Linked DNA regions of Lepisosteus oculatus. The protein of the gene in region 1 interacts with the protein of each later gene in a pairwise test. Links are inferred from orthologs where the notes say so. Each region holds a gene or a part of one and is shown in the gene's direction. Other genes may lie near its edges.

Evidence for each region. The genes of interacting proteins can lie anywhere in the genome.
Region 2: the proteins of xpo7 (region 1) and uso1 interact in binary tests that used the Homo sapiens proteins (3 or more experiments, as listed by UniProt). The two-hybrid records come from large-scale screens. The link is inferred for Lepisosteus oculatus from reciprocal best matches to the Homo sapiens genes XPO7 and USO1.

Annotation. Positions count from the first base shown.
Region 1 is NC_090697.1:74,312,965-74,321,058, forward strand, and holds the start of xpo7 (exportin-7), read left to right. Parts: upstream 1-4,773; 5' UTR 4,774-4,863; coding exon 4,864-4,881; intron 4,882-8,094.
Region 2 is NC_090696.1:72,270,916-72,279,471, forward strand, and holds the start of uso1 (general vesicular transport factor p115), read left to right. Parts: upstream 1-5,019; 5' UTR 5,020-5,207; coding exon 5,208-5,273; intron 5,274-7,754; coding exon 7,755-7,841; intron 7,842-8,556. UniProt on the Homo sapiens protein: General vesicular transport factor required for intercisternal transport in the Golgi stack; it is required for transcytotic fusion and/or subsequent binding of the vesicles to the target membrane.

The DNA of each region.
Region 1 (8,094 bases):
GAGACCCGTCCTCCAGGCGTCCGCGCCCGTCTGGCTGCAGACCGGTCTAACTGCGCTCCGGACTGAGATCAGGATTTAAATTCTTCAGCAACTGCGCTTCCGTCGCGTGATGGACTGAATCTTTGAACCCTTGGTCAGAGAAAATCACTAGGTGACCTGCTACAAACTGTTCAAAATCCTCCAAGCCCCTGTCAAAGCTAACCCAGCGGACGTCTTCAGAAAGATTTGAAGTTTTGAAGGGATTTGAGCGCAACACCGGCCAGGGCGCACAAGTGGAAAATACTTGAAAGTGCGTTTAAAAACCGAGAACAGAAGACGGTCATTCATTTAGAGGGAGCTGGGACAAACTACCCAGCCACGCTGTTGAAGCCGATATCACGGTGCCCTTCAAGAAACAGCTGGATGAGACCCTTTTGATCAACGAACTTGCTAACTACCAAACCAGGCCAGACGGGCCGAGCGACCTCCTCTGTTCTTATGGATATGAACTGTATTGTAACTGTAGGGTTCGTGCGATTGTGGTTCAACCCTTTGCCTGTAAGGACGGGAACTGCGTGGAAACTGATACTCTTCTTAGGTTTTTTTTTAACAATCTCATTTCCACCTGCCGCGTCCTGTCTCTCCCTTTCTGATCTCCCTCTTTACTATTCACACTATCACGTGTAAACCACCCGAAAACAAAGGAATGTATATTCACGTGAACCTACCGATAAACCGAAACAGAGAATTCTGTATAACTCAAAATATTTTAAACTGCGTGACTGAAGAAAACAACACTAACACGGGACAATTAGCTCACAGTATCATTATATGCGCGGGTGGCAGCGGTATCACCGGGGCGAGGACAGAGTTAACGGTAATGTTATGCCACTAAATCACATCTAAGCGGGCAGCCTAGTAAATTGAAAACTGCGTTTTCCCCGATTCGGACCGCTTTCCGCTATGTAGGGAGGTCCCTTCTCAGGCCATCAAGGCCCATGGGGGAATGGGGGGCAAGGGACACCATTTTTCTTTGCCCAAAGATATTAGAGAGTCACCTTCTCTAAACTCCTTCAAATCTAGACTCAAAACCTTCTTCTTCAGAAAAGCCTTTACTTAACTGCTTCCATTCTTCACCCCTCTGCTCTTCTTAATACCACCTTCCACGGTCTCCTCTATTGTTATTGTTGTATTGTTGTAATTATAATTGTGTCCTATCTTGTGAAATCTTCTTAATTATTGTTGTAGTCTTCTTATTTATTGTTATTGTCATCCTGTAAAGCGCTTTGAGAAGCCACCTTTAAAGGCGCTATATAAAATAAAGTTTATTATTATTATCCGACACTGGAGGTGGAGGTGATGTGGTCAGTATCACGCTCCGGTCGGCCTATTACCCCACGGTACTCACTCTGAAAACAGAATGAGTGGACCTGGGAGCCGTCTGGAAGGAATTAGAGCAAGCTCCATCGCTGTCCCCTACCTGGGATTGAACCCGGGACCTTCCAGACGGGAGCTAGACGCCCTTTGCTCCGCTTTCTGCCATCTGGTTCTCGTCAATCCCGCTTTCGCGGCACTTCACAGATTCACCACGAGGTGGCAGCAACAGCCTACGCGTTTCCACGTCTTTCTCTCCGGCGCGTTAAACCGGGCGCCCGGTTTGCCAAGAACTCGGCAGCGACCTCGGGCGAGATCAATTACTTAAAAACCGCTTAATCCTTTATCTCGCATACGGGATTGTAAACAGGGGCTTTACGCGAAGGAAAACAGACCTAATAGGATAGGGAAAGGTTACGGAGGACACAATTTCGTCGCCTACCCCAGAAACCTGCGTTTTATAGACATAGAACCAGCAAAGAATGAGAAAAAGCAAGCTCTAGGCACAAATATGTCCATCTGAATTCTAGTGTAAAAAAAATACCCGGACTATTTTTCTAGCCTTGTTGATTACGCGATTGTGGCCACGTAAATGGAACGGGCGACCGGGGCCTGAACCGAGTAATTTGTAATTAACTGGGGGTTGAACTGAGTAATTTCTAGTTAACTGGTGTATCAGCTGACGAGCTCACGGTGTGCGTGGACGGTATGTGGCCAGATGAAATGTGACGTGGACTTGGGAAGATAACAAAAAGCAGATAACAAAAACCATAAACCGTGGATCCGCGACAGCAAACACTGAGGCACTTAGAAAAAAAGACGTTACCTGTAGATGGTTATGTCGAAACGTCATTTTAATCTTCTAGACAATGTGGAGGAGTAAAGAAGGCACACCAAAAAAAACCCGTTAGGACACATAGTTAATAGCATTGAACTGAAATCGGTGGGTGTTGTGTTAAAATGTACAATGCACTAGTAATATTTCATTTAAAATGTTTTGTACAATGTTGGTCACCCAGCAGAAGGGCACCTGGACACAGTCTGGCCTTTAAGGAACGTCCTGCTCAGGCTGAAAGGGAGAAGACTTCTGGAGACCTGATTCAAGCAGTCAAAAATCAACAAAGCTAATGACTAGGTCAACCCAGGGGACTTCAGAGGGCTTCTCCCTAAAAACACGACCGGTGAAACCGCGTAGACGTGTATTGAAAATTAGGAAGAGGAGGCGCGCGTTTACACAAAGAGTGGCGGTGGTCTGCACCAAGACCCATGGCCGTCTTACTCAGCCGATCCACTGGCTGCCCTCCAGAAACCGCGAGAGCGGAACCACAGATCAATTAGCGTGTGACTGGAAGGGCCGAAGGCTCTGGTTCGAAACCTTTGCCATTACTCATCAGAGCGCAAGATGGGCCTCAGATATGTGGATAAAAGCGGATTTTTCAATGAAAAGTTGAACTTGCATTTTTTCAGTTTCAAAACTGCAAACTTTTGTAAGGATGAATGTGGTCACAAATAAGCTTGTTTCTTGATCATCAACGCAACAACAAAAATAACTACTACATGGGTGGCACGTGGTGCATTGGTCAGCATTGCTCCCTCACACTGCTGGGGCCCCGGGTTCGACTCCTGAGGTGCTGTCTGTGTGGAGTTTGCATGTTCTCCCCACATGGGTTTCCTCGGGGTGCTGCAGTTTCCAACGATGTACTGGTAGGCCAATTGCCTTCTGGGAAAATTGGCCCTGGGGTGTCTGTGTGTGAATCGGCCCTGTGAAGCACTGGTGTCCCATGCAGGTCGTACCCTGCCTTGAGCCCATTGCTTGCTGGGATAATAATCATAATAATAATAATAATAATAATAATAATAATAATAATAATAATAATAATAAAAATAATAATAATAAAAGTCTCCTCAGCCTTGCAGATGAAACTTTCAGGACGTCACATGGATCAGCTCTGTCAGCTTCAGGTGTCCAGACAACAGCGGTTCTAGAACATCCAGAGGTGTGCTGTTCTGGAATATCCAGCTAGAACAAGTGCTGTTCTAGAACGAAGCTTCAGGGCACTTCATTCGCCCCTGCAGATCGATGCCGGAGAGGGGCTCTGGGCTGGGGTACGACAGCGTGCAGCCACCCCTCTGCGCTTGCTTTCAGACGATGGGAATCTGGTTGTGCTGACTGAAGCAGATGGCTCCACTGACACAGAAAACAACAGCTGGAGCGTCATGATGAATACACACAGAGCAGAGACCTCCTTTGCACTCACAGCGTGATAATATTCTGATTGATCGCTGCTTAAATAGTTCCTACTTCGGTTCATAGTTAATAATAATAATTCCTTACAATTTTTAGTAGCCCCAATCAGCAGTCAGCAGTCAATGTGACAGCAGTCAGAGCGCACCAGTACACTCACCAAAACACCAGCTCTCAGTGGGGAGGAGAGCAGAGTGATGAAGCCAGTTCAGAGAGGGGGATTATTAGGAAGCCATGATTGGTAAGGGCCAATGGGAAATTTGGACAGGATGCTAAATTTTCGAGCAACGCCCAGGGATTTTTAATGACCACAGAGAGCCAGGACTTCCGAAGGACGGTGCCTTCTTACAGGTATAGCGTGCCTGTCACTGTTATTAGGAGGCCATGACTGGTGAAAATTTGTCCAGGACACGGGCTAACACTCTGTTTTTTCTTTTTGAGAAATACCCCAGGATTTTTAATGACCACGGAGAGTCAGGGCCTCGGTTTTACGTCTCATCTGAAGGACAGCGCCTTTTTTACAATATAGTGTCCCCATCACTGTACTGGGGTATAAGAACCCACACAGACTGCTGGGTGAGAACCCTCTGCTGGCCCCACTAACACCTCTTCCAGCAGCAACCTTAGCTTTCTCATGAGGTCTCCCATCCAGGTACTGGCCAGCCTCACACCTGCTAAACTTCACTGGGCTGCCAGTTGTGAGCTGCGGGGGGATACAACAGCAGCTGCCGAATTCAACAAGCAGTGCTGCTAGTGCTACTGTTCTTTGACACTCTCGTGGTGATACCTGAGGAGCACATGAGCCAAGAACAGATAATCGAATAAATATATCCGATGTTTTCTTAGTGTGGTTTTGTAGAACATCTGAAAAATAATGGTTACCACTCAATAATCCACTAATCTACCGAAGAAAAATGTGATTTTGCTTTACAAGCTTGCAAAGTAGAGAGGTTTTTTTGCCCCACTGCAGAATCGCTGAGCAAGTTCTAGTGATGATGTTAGAAACGAAAAGGGGGTCTCCCCCCGTCTCCCCACCGATTCCAGAATGGAACCGTATCTCTTTAAGAGTCATGTAAACAAAGAGTTTGCGGAATGTTCCTCCGCGGTCGGATTCTGCAACCTTGCGTAGCGCGCAGCGCCCTTGCAGCCCGCGCGAACGGCGCTGCGCAGGAAGCGCAAGGGCCCGACAGCGCCGGGATAACTCGGCGCATGCGCTGTGTCGTGGGGGGGAGTGAGCGAGCTGAGCTGAGCATGAATGGAGCAAAATGGCGGATCATGTGCAGGTAACCAGGGTTTATGTTTTGGAAATGTGAAAACGCTATCCTTAGCGGTGCGTGCGTCTTCATCTAGGGATCCGAGGGACGGGGCGAGGACGCGGTGTGGAAACGGCGGCAGGCGAGGAGGGAAACCCAGGCGCGGTGCAGGCGGCGAGGCGTGTTTTGGATGCGATTGTGGAAGAGTGTTGACTTGTGGCCTGTCATCATGTCCATTGCTTTGACATGATTCAGAAGTGTGGAGAACGGAACGGACGAGATAATATTACGGCGAGGGGGGAGGAAGAGGCGAGCCGTGCGTCCCACGGGGGTTCAATACCGTGCGTCGGTTTCGCCGCGGGGGCGTGAATGTGGAGCCCGGAGCCGGCTGGTGTTGGAGTCAGTCCTTGCAAGTAAACACGACAGCATTGCATTGCTTTAGGTCTGGCCTGCTGCTCGTTTTGGGGGGGGGAGAAATTTATTGTCGTTTTCCAAAGGAGAAACTTTTGCAAACCAAAAACGGATGGAAAAAAAAAAACAAAGACGCATTTTGGCTCGCTGTTTTATTTTTGTTTTTGCGGTATATTTAAAAAAGGGGGAGAGATACACGAGTTGCTGGTTTGCCTTAAAGGAACGTGTCCTCTGACATCAGCCCACTTTCTCTGACTCTCACTTAGGGCAGTAGTTTCGTTTTTGTTGACGACCGGTGAACACGTTAACGTTTCCTTCGCGCTGTAGTGCACACAGCGGGGCGATTATAACACCATTTCTCCAGCTGCAGCTGTTTCTGGTAGAAATTCCAGTGCGATCCCTATTCGTATTCGCGAAAGGCGGTAGAGAGCTGTGCATCTTTGCTCAAACAGCGATGAATAAATAACAGCAAGCGAAGTACCTCGTTTTTTCTTCCTCGTTAGAGAGCAGCGTGCCTGTGTGGTATAATTTAATCACAGTAGACGGAGAGATTGAATTAGTAATGACTAGGCACTGTAATCCCTCGATTTCAGACTTGAACAGGTGGTTAACCCCTCTTTTGAACCGCTGGGGAAATTGCACGCGTTGTGAGTTTCAAATTGATGTCTCTGCGCGAAGGGTACGCCTTCCGTCTCTGTCATCAGCCTCGTCGAGCACGGACGCCGGTTCGGAAAAAAAGAAGGAAAGCTGCAAGAAATGTTGTTGTTGTTTTTTTTTTTAAATTGTTGGGACGCAAAAAGTAGGATCATGGCGGTAATCGACGTTAACGTCAGCTGACTCTACAGCGAGGCCGGTTCCGGCTGTGTTTTCAACGGCTGTCGCCATGTGACGTTAGCGCGATAACTGCTGCCGCGGGGTGGACTTGTATCCTGACCGATTGACAGAAATGTCGAAATGCGTGCTGTTCATTACGCCAGGCGGTCATCTCAAAGTGGCGGTAGTCGTTAAATGCATGCACGTTTATGCCGCCTCCGAGTGATTGTTTGTTAAGGTCACTGTAAAGGGGTCACGTCAGATTCAGCGAGTCTTGTTTACCGACTGTGGGGTGTGTTGGGAAATGTGTATGTGTGCGGAGGGTTAGGGGTGCGTTTATCGTGCGGTAGCTTTGTTGGTTAACAACGGAAGGGTTGCCCTTAAAGGACCTGATTGTGGAATTGCTTTCACAGACTGACAGGAAATCGCAGTGAGTTTGTAGAAATGGGTAAAGTGCGCAGAACAACAATTGCCTGTTTCAGTTTCAGGTGTCTGAACGCAGAAAAAGGTCATTCGTATGATGAGGACCTTTAAATGTTTTGCCCGGCATTGTATTTAACCTAGCACTAGGAGAAATGTAGCTTAGACTTTTTCTATGAAGCTGTTCATGTTTGGATCACCAGTTATACATAATGACAGCTCTAGTATAGTAATAGTTGCTTGCTTGCCCACTTGGTTGACACACAGCAGTCATTCTGCACCAGCAGCCCCACCTGGGAGAGACACAGTGGTCATTCTGCACCAGCAGCCCCACCTGGGAGACACACAAGTGGCCATTCTGCACCAGCAGCCCCACCTGGGAGAGACACAGTGGCCATTCTGCACCAGCAGCCCCACCTGGGAGACACACAAGTGGCCATTCTGCACCAGCAGCCCCACCTGGGAGACACACAGTGGACATTCTGCACCAGCAGCCTCACCTGGGAGACACACAGTGGTCATTCTGCACCAGCAGCCCCACCTGGGTGACCCACCTGCACTGCAGATCAGGAAGAGGACTGAGAAAGTGCCTCACTTCTTTATATCAGGGGTAACCGTATTGAGGTCAAATTGTTCAAGTCTGGAGTGGAAGTTAAACAGAGCCCTGGGGTTAACCTTAGCTACATTTTCCTCTCGTCCAACAAGGGGGGGGACCGTATACTCTTAGCACATATGCGCTTAGTAGACAGCCTTGTTAAAGTGACTGAGGAAACTGACATTGTGTGTGAACAGTCTTGACACAATAATGTCCAGATAGATGAATTGCTCTTTCCTGTGGAAGCCTTCCTAATTCAAATGGCATTGTTACGAGTCACACGGGCCCTCCTGGTCCACCTCACTGCAGGGGGTCGCAGCAGGCAGCTCCCGGCTGCAGTGGGCGAGAGAGGGCGTCTCGTTCGGAGGGAGTGCTGGCTCCCAGCAGCGACAGCCCAAGTGAAAAGAGGAAAAGCTCACAGGCCTCAGCAGTGTTGTAATTCGACCATGACGTGCTGGAGCAAGAGCTGTTGAGAAAGTGAGCCGGGATCCTTCATTAACTCACCGGCACTCGCTTTTTGTAGGCCTGCGTTTCATCAGCAGCCATACCGGGCAAGCCATTGACTTTCAACAACAAAGCCGAGGTGAGGGATTATCGTGGTTCTGTATCAGGGTGTTAATCTGTATGCAGTAATTAAGTTAATCTGCTTTGCGGTTCGAACAGCCTTTTGATGTTCCGCTATGAATAAAATATTTTCTCAGGGTTTTCCTTTCACCCGTCAGTGTTCAGTTTGGCTCCTCCTGCCACAGAGCTGTCAGGTCTCGTTGCCTTCACGGTGCTGGGATAGAGACCACGCTGGCTGTTGGGGGAACAGACTGGTTTTATATCCTGGACGGAAACACAGAAACAGGGCGGGATTCCGTCTTCACCTTTTCTCCGCTTTTGTATCTTTTATTCCCACCCGAACGTCGCTCTCTGGGTCGCTGAGAAAGGTTCCTTGTGGTCAGATTTGGACAGCTCTCCTGCCGACCGCAGGATCTGAAGCCCTTTAATGAGATTATCGA
Region 2 (8,556 bases), on another chromosome or scaffold:
AGGAGGAGGGGGAGCAGTCAGCTCGGGTCTTTTCTAAGTTCTCAGGAGTACAGCGCGGCCTTCATTAAGAGCCGCCGTCCTGCAGCGACGCAATGTGCATGTAGTAGTAGTAGGTCGGTCGCGTCAAAAAAAAAAAAAAAACAGTCTGAAATCAAGCGTTTCTCCCGCAGCAAGACTGTCGGACACGACACTGGCCGCCAGCACCCGTCAACTCCTGTGCGAAAAGCCGAGGCCGCTGCCGCACACGAGAGGTGTAACCGCGGCTGTCTGGGCTGCTTCAGTCGCGCTTCCGAGAAAGAGCGATAGTGAAACCGGCCGGGGGCTCATGGCGGTGCGCGTTATGGCGTCGTTTCTTTTGTGTTAAAATCAACAGCCCCGCCAAGTGCACAAAATAACACGTTAATCCGCGCCCAGATGGGTGTACATCAACGGTTTTTTTTTTCCTTCGGTCTTTTAGCGAGGTGTGTAAACAAAGATAATGCACGAAAAGCCAGCAGGTAGCGTGCTCGACATCACGTTAAAAAACACCGCTACTGTACACAGTTACACAGGCCTTTTCTGATCTCGCCGCTCAAACGCAACGCGAGCTCTTCAAAACGACACACAATTGGAAAAAAAATACCAAGAATGTCCCTTTTCACTAGAACTGGTCTGAAAAATAGAAGAAAAATCCAAACGTGCTAAATATCCCTTTTCATGTTAGAAAATGCACACGCCATACCCCATCTTTACGTAACCAAAAACAAATACAAAATAAGGTGAAGTGATTAATATCAAACCACCAAAACACGGGAGAATAACAAAAATTACCCAAATTAAGGCAAAACAAATCGAACTTACCTTTTAAACACCTACCTAAATCAACACAGTGATTAAAGAGAATGGCGATTAATACTGAAGATAAAGCTAGTCAGTTAAACACGGAAACAGGTATTTCTCTGGGGAAAACGGATTAATTTCTGATTTTTTTTCCCCCCACCTTGCCCTAGGACTCTATGATCTCTGTTTAATCAGAGATTGGGATTTAAAGCGATAGATTCTATCTTATTGTCTCACCCCTGCTCTCCGGGGCAGGGAACCCCCGTCACACTCAACAAACCAATAAAAACCTCACATTGGACAATACTTATTGTGACGCAAAAAGCGAGTGCTTTCCCGCCCGCCTCCCGCGCCGCCGGTCCAGCGCTTCGAGATTATGACGTCACAAAGACCCTCCGATACTACGCGATTATTTATTAATATTTACCTCTGACGTCCTTATCCAGAAGTCCCTCGGTTTAAAACAATAAATAAATTAAACAGTGCAAAAAATTCATAATGTAGCGCTGTGTGAAAACAATAGATTTAGAATAAGACATTAACTAAACCAAAAGCAAGGCACACAAATAACAAGCAGAAGTAATAATAAGCTTTATTATCTGCCAGACACATTCTTGTACACATTTATTATCTACGAATTCTTCTACTTGTGTATCATCATGTAGTATTGCTATTGCTGCAGCCTGTGCCTTTTTTTCCCTGTCTTGGTCACTACTTCCTATTAAATCATTTGCTTGCAATTCTAAAATGGTACAATCAGATTTTAAAAAACGACCTGAATGCAAATTAGAGCGAAAACGGTAACACATAGATTGTACAACTTGATTCCGAGGTTCCAATGTTCAGTTTAAGCCACTTGCTGAACTTCATGCCTTGTGTCAGCCAGTGTCTCTCCTGTCAGCTCTTGAGTAGCTTTTCTCTCTAATGTTCCTCTGTTTACATTTTCTTGAGCCTCCTCCTGTGCCCTCCCCAGTTCTGTGTCTCCTGAATTTCCTCTTCAGACTCCTCCCTCTCCTCTCAGGACGTTTCTGACAGAGAAACATCCAAAGGACCTGCAGTTTCAGTACAGTCTCTGGATAATTAACTCATGACAGTGTCTAGTCCAAAACACAGCTCTATTGAACCACGACTGAAGCCTGTTTTTGAATCTTCTAATGTGGTAACCCTGCATTATGCCACAGTCTCCATCAGGGGTAGGCATCCCTATCGCTCTAGTGTTGTTTGCTGTGTTTATTCCATCTCAGACTTTCATGACTTGAATTAACCAATTAGGTCAGTAAGAAATCAAATCAGCTGTGTTTACAAGGGTTCAATGTTGCCCTTTTCTGAACTTTAGAGTTCCGTGTCTCTGTGTTTAAACCTTGATTCCATGAGAAAGTCAGCAATTAGTGAACTTCAGGGGGACTATAGACAAACAGGGGAGTGAAAGATGTCCCACAGGAGGGTTGCAATTATACAGACAAAAAAGGCACAGATAGTTATTTTTTCTGGGCTGGACATATATAATCCATATGAACTCAGTGAGACCCACCTGTGTTGTTTGATGTTAGTAGTTTCTGAAGAGCATGAAGCACATCAGGAAAGAGCAGTATCTAATGGGCAGTAGTTATCAGCAAAAACACAAAATATGACACTTTAAAATAAAAGATTTTAATCTGGCCGTTCAATGGCAGTTAATTAAATTAATGTTTTAATTTTACTCACATGCTTTTTTAAGAGACAGACTTTAAAAATAAAGCCAATTACAGAACACAATAACAAGTAATGTGATATTTGTAAGTATTCTAGGAAAGGCTCAAATAATAACATACAGAATCACAGAACTGCACACTTAAATTAAACTTTGACCTGTATACATTAACTGTGTAAAAAGCACAATTCTTCCACCATAGTATAGACTAACAATATTGAATAAGTTAAGGAAACAGTATGACATCGTATAAGTTGTGCCTGCAATGCTTGACTGATCAAAGGCAAACATGATCAATCAAAAGATTGTTCATGTTTCAAAGATGGCTAAATTCTAAATAACTAGCATCTCTAAGAAATAAGTAATAGGTTTATTCCATGCTGAAAAAAAGAAGAAAGAGAACACAACGTTTTGGCCGTGGAGCCTTCTTCAGGTGTCTCTAAGAAATGGCTGGACTGTGGATCTGTAACAAGGGGGAAGGGGTAGATGTACCCCTGCAGAAAAGACCAGTCAAGACATGAGCTGCATATAAAACAGCAAGAAACAGCTGAAGTTTTGAACTTTAGGGCTCTCAAGGGGAAAGGCATTTAACTCAGTGTGTTGGTGTGCATACAGTAGCTAACTCATTAAATAGTCTTGACAAGAAACCAGTACTTTTAATGGTTATAAAACAGTTTATAAAAAAATACAAGTGGTTAAAGAAAAAAGTTTAAAGAGAAAAATTTGTATACACAATGAGCTCACAGTAGAACAAACTGGGCATAGTCATTTCTCAGAAAAATGTCTGAAGGAAGATTTTCAGAAAAAGTACAGTAAATGTCAAATATGAAATATGAACATATCTCATCTGTTCTCCTAGGTGAGGTCGTTTGAATTGCAGTGGTCACCTGTTTTGTGACATGCCCAAGTAAATTTTTGCTTTGATGTGAATTTGTGTATCTAAAGGAAATAATCTGAAATACAACCAAATAATCACTGAGGACATATTATTAAAACTAGCTGTTGCTTGCATGAAAAAAAAAAACATTTTAGAGTTGTTTGAAAACTTTGCATTCTTCCCACTTTCAAATGCTTAAAAAATACAAATAGCTGAATTATAAATAAAGAATAAAAGATGTTACTGTCATCAGAAATAAAAATTACGATTGATAATTTTATTTTATTTTTTAAACTTAATTACTGTGCATTGGAAATTGTATATTGTATATTTGTTAGAAGCTGCATGCAATGAAGTTGCATTGTGATTCCAACCAGCAATGGTAAAATCATTATTTTTAATCTTGAACAAAGAAGATTATGAGAGAACCAAACTCAAGACGTCAAAATCTTAAAAAGCCTAGATAAAAGCAGTACTACTGAATGAAAGTCTTCAGAATCAACACTGAAATATGAACCAGAAGGCACAAATAGAAACTACATGCACAGGAAGTGCATTTTAAAACAGAGAACAGGTGGCACTTCCTGCTGTGGGGTGTGGGAGTGTGCAAGAAGCTGCCTAGCCATATCAGCTAGCTACTGAAAAACTGAATTAGACAGAGGGACAGAATGGTCTCTTCTTGTTTGTAACCATTCTAGTATTCTTATATCTGCTAAAGTACAATGATCTGTTTGCATGCTTGTCTTCCTGGTGTCCAAGCCAATGGTGGGGACACAAGCGAACAGTTGTTCACATAGGGGCACCGTGTGATCAATAGCACACATGAAGGTTGGTGACCTTCAACCATCCTTGTAAAAAACAATGTCATTACAAAATGATGAATTGACATATCAGACGAAACATTAACACTCAAACTCACTTCATGCATCACATGTTTAACTTGCATGTTGGGCTATCTCTTCAAGGTGTTTCAGTGTAAGTTAAGATTTTCATTACCAAGTCTTTTGTTGATGTTGGGTATTTTCCAAGCACCACCTTTAAGACCAACTAACAGATTGCTTCAAAGTGTTGGACTGTTAAGTGTTGCTTATTGCCTTTGTTTTGAATTCTAAACTACCACAATGCAAGCGAATTTGCAAAGCCCTGTCATAATAGCGAAATGACCACCTGTTAGATGAAACACCCCCTTTTTTTTAAATGAAGCAAATGCCTGCAAAAAAAATAAGTATAGAAGAACAATTACAAATGTTATTTAATAACCGTCCAATGTCACAAAGGTGTTCTTTGGTCCAGAAACCTTGGGATTCTCAGTTTGTCTAAGGAGGACCCCAGAAAAGGCTTTCTTTTTTTTGCAACCAGTCCTGCAATCCTGGTTTTGTTCTGGTGCCACTTGAAAGCTTATCAGGGCCACCTACAGTCATGCTTTCGGTTGTATAAGCAAGTGTAACCCTTGTTTGTAATAGTTACGAACCGAAATGAAATCCCGTGTTTAAAAATCGCCTTCCGTCTTGCGCAAGACCAGCCGGGGAAACCGGAAAACCATGGGGCGCCATGACCCCCCGAAAGGTGAAGGAGGTCCTGTCACTTTAAAAATCACCTCTGGCCCTGTGAGCAGCCACGTTTCGCCACGTCTCCGCGCCTGCGCAGCGCGGTGTTCCAGTGCTGTTCCGGGGTAGCTGTGTGTGTCAGTGTCCCACAACAAGATCGGTCTGGGGGGGAAAGGGATCGAGGATCGGAGTAACGCTTGGGATCGCAGTACAACCAGCCGCGGCCCCGGTCATTTTCATAACACTAAAGCGCTTCGGCTTGGTGGGGGGAGACATGAATTTCCTGCGGGGAGTGATGGGAGGGCAGCCGGCCGGGCCGCAGCCTTCGGGTGCAGAGACGGTGAGTCTTGTCACGTCGCGGAAAGGCAGGAGCTGGGGTGGTGGTGGGGGTGCTCGGGTCTGGCGCCCCAGTCGAGTCGAGACTGACCCAGCTCCTGTCGGGATTGGCACCGTGGTCTTTTAGAGAGTATACCAGCGTGTCCGTCGGCTCGGTGGGTAGGAGGAGGAGGAGGAGGAGTTGGGGGGTGGGGGGGCGTCGTGCTCGCCGTAATTTCTCCAGCCTGACACAGGAGGGAAAAGGGCAGGAAAAAGTGTTACGATGAGGACTAAGATGCATCCGGGCTGGACGGAGCTAGCTGTGGGAGTGTGGGGGTGGTTTGGTTTGCACCGGGACGGCTCTAGTCAGCCCCAAGGACGGATCGGGATCAAGCCTGGAGCAGCGAACCTGAAAAAAAAACCAACCCATTCGCTCTGTCGTGTCTTATAAATGAGGGGTGTTATGATATTATGATTTATTGCCGCTATAAAGCCGATGCTTATTCGCTTTCTCCTTCATCTCAAATAAGCCTGCTGGTGCTATTATTATTGGGACCCCCCCCACAAACGTCTTAACACTAACAGCACCTGTCACCGCAGGTCAGTCCCGGTCGCTGCGATGGCGTTGACAAAGTGACAGTTAGTGGGATCGTTTCCCAGTCCATATTATCCTCATTTTCTTTATAACCCCCTGTCTCCGCTTGGAGGTACGGCTCAGGCTTTTGTTGGGAGGCGTGAGGATCTGTCGATGGTAGATTGGGTCGCTGTCAGCTGCTCTCAAGATAACGCGTGTAACTGTGATGAAGGAATCGTTTCCTGACGGACTCCTGCTTGTCATGGGTCCGAGCTGTGGCTGGAAAACAAATGCATATCTGTATTGACAAAGGAAACCTTGCATGTTTCTACCTGGGTGCAAAATGCAGTACTATAATAGCCGAAGCGGCCGGAGCGTACCCATGCTTGCGTCTGGGTCATGATAACTGCCATTATCAGATCCGGCGGAAAATTGGGAGGATAAACAACTCTGATTTTGAGCAGCCAGCTGTCTCTGCTATGATGTAGGCTATTTTCAGAATCATCCCGATGCATGACGATTCTGCTTTTCCTTTTCATGTCATGTCCCCTGTTCCTCTGCCGGATTCTGCCTTTTAGCTTTAAAACGGCAATTTAAAAAGGCGTGTTGGTTATCAACACGTTAAGCAACACTTTAAATATCTTTCCTAATCAGTATGATCGAACTTCAGCCTTGTTTTTTTTTTCACATGTCTGTGAACAACGGTTATTACATTGTTTTTGTACTATGGATTGTGTCTTTTGATCCTAGATTTATTTTAACCTTTACACCAGTGAAATGTACATTTGTTTCAGTTTTATTTAATGGAAAATATCTTGATGGTCTGGGTCTCCGTAGCACACTGGTCTTCAGTCCTGGTTACGAAGACCAACAAAACCAAGAGTCGTCAATGATTAAAAACTTGGAAATGGTTATCAATACTAAATAAGTAAATACTTTGGTCGTTGAACTCATAACATGCACAAGTAGAAAACTGGAGTCTTGGGTCCTCGTCTCTTCAGGAATTTGGATTAGAGCTACAAATTCTTAGTACACAAGTTATGCGTTTTACACACAACCAGTTTAACAGTTCAGCTTTGTCTACTAAAACTGGTGTGCCCTGTTTTTATGCTATCAGCTGTTGACAGAGGCATTGACAGTTTTTTTAAACCTTTGTCATTCTTCAGCTGTTAGGGTCTCTTAAAAAGTAGTGAAGACCGACTGTCTTGTTTACATAATATCCCAAAGCAAAAACTGTCTAGATCACACAATACACAGTGTGCTAAGGACATATGTGGCTTTCAGATGTAGTCTTCCTTCAAAGCACAAAACTCTTTGAAACAGTCTTAAGATCCCCTGGAAGTGCATTGTGCATTGCATTGCCCTAGAAAGTATCTTAAGATACGTCTGAAATCTTTGTTTGGGTACAGGACTTCTCGTAGTCTGTTATACAGTACTTTTTGAATGTTCTGATGTAATTATTAGAATACTGTCATTAATCTTGACGGATATATTTAAGCTTTAAGTCCCAGTATTTGCTGTAGACATTTATCTTGTTCTATGGTATGCTCTTATCATATGCTACAACATTCTTCTAGTCCACATGCATTCATAACAGACATTTTTTAATTTTTTCCAAAGTTGGGTGCTGAACGTACTCTGTTTACTGTGAAGGAGACATACTCTAGTGATCTCATTTCAGTTCGATTCAGGTCCCTTGTATGGTCCAGCTTTGTTGTTTATACGTATGAAACGGTTTCGCATCAGGGTTCTCCTTATTACTGACTCTTTTAGTACTTGTTTAAAAATAGTGAAAGGTAATATACAGTACATGGCCTCTATTGTGTGTTGTTCTTTGTGCAGGGCATGTTCATGTTTCATATGAATGAGGAATGCTGTGCATTGATTTGAAAAATACTGATTTCTGTCTTTTTTTTCCCCTTCAAATGCCAGATTCAAAAACTGTGTGACAGAGTAGCTTCATCCACTTTGCTGGAGGACCGCAGGGATGCAGTCCGGGCTCTGAAGTCTCTTTCAAAGGTACGCAGACAGGACCAGATAATAATAATAATAATAATAATAATAATAATATAAAGTCTGAACTCACGGACGGATGTAGACGTAGTTTAAGAAACCTCCAAAAAAATAAACATTTCTTCAACTTGACATATTTTTGTAGTTGATGGTGACTGTTTTTCATTCTCTACTTATATAAACATTTGTGTTGACCAGAATTTTTCATCAGTTTACATGTCTCTTCACCTTGTTTGCTGATTGTCAAGAGAAGTCTTTGAACTATTAATTGTTAACAAAGGGTTTTCTATATCTCTATGAAGTCGCGTCATTCCCTTCCGTTTTGATTAAATCAGCAGCCTGTTGGTCTTGATTTTATTTTCTGATTTTGAGCTCCATTGATCTTGTTTTCTCAGTGGGAGACATGTTTAGGTTGTGATTTGGGATGGATTTCTGCATGACCAATCATTCAAGAGACAGAGGGGTTCATAGGGGACCCATTTAGGAAACCCAACTTTACAATAGGACATCCATATCCCTATTACTGGTAAACACGGATATCATTTTAAAGATTACAAATTGAGTTGTTCGGTCATTTTATAATGTGGAAAAAAAGCTGTGTAAATGAGGTCATTTTTTACCTTGAACCTTTCTCAAAATGTTTCAAATACATTTTTACAAATTGTAGTCTAAACCTTTGTTTACATATTTTACATCATTTTTGTGTTGTTCCTCTCTTGAG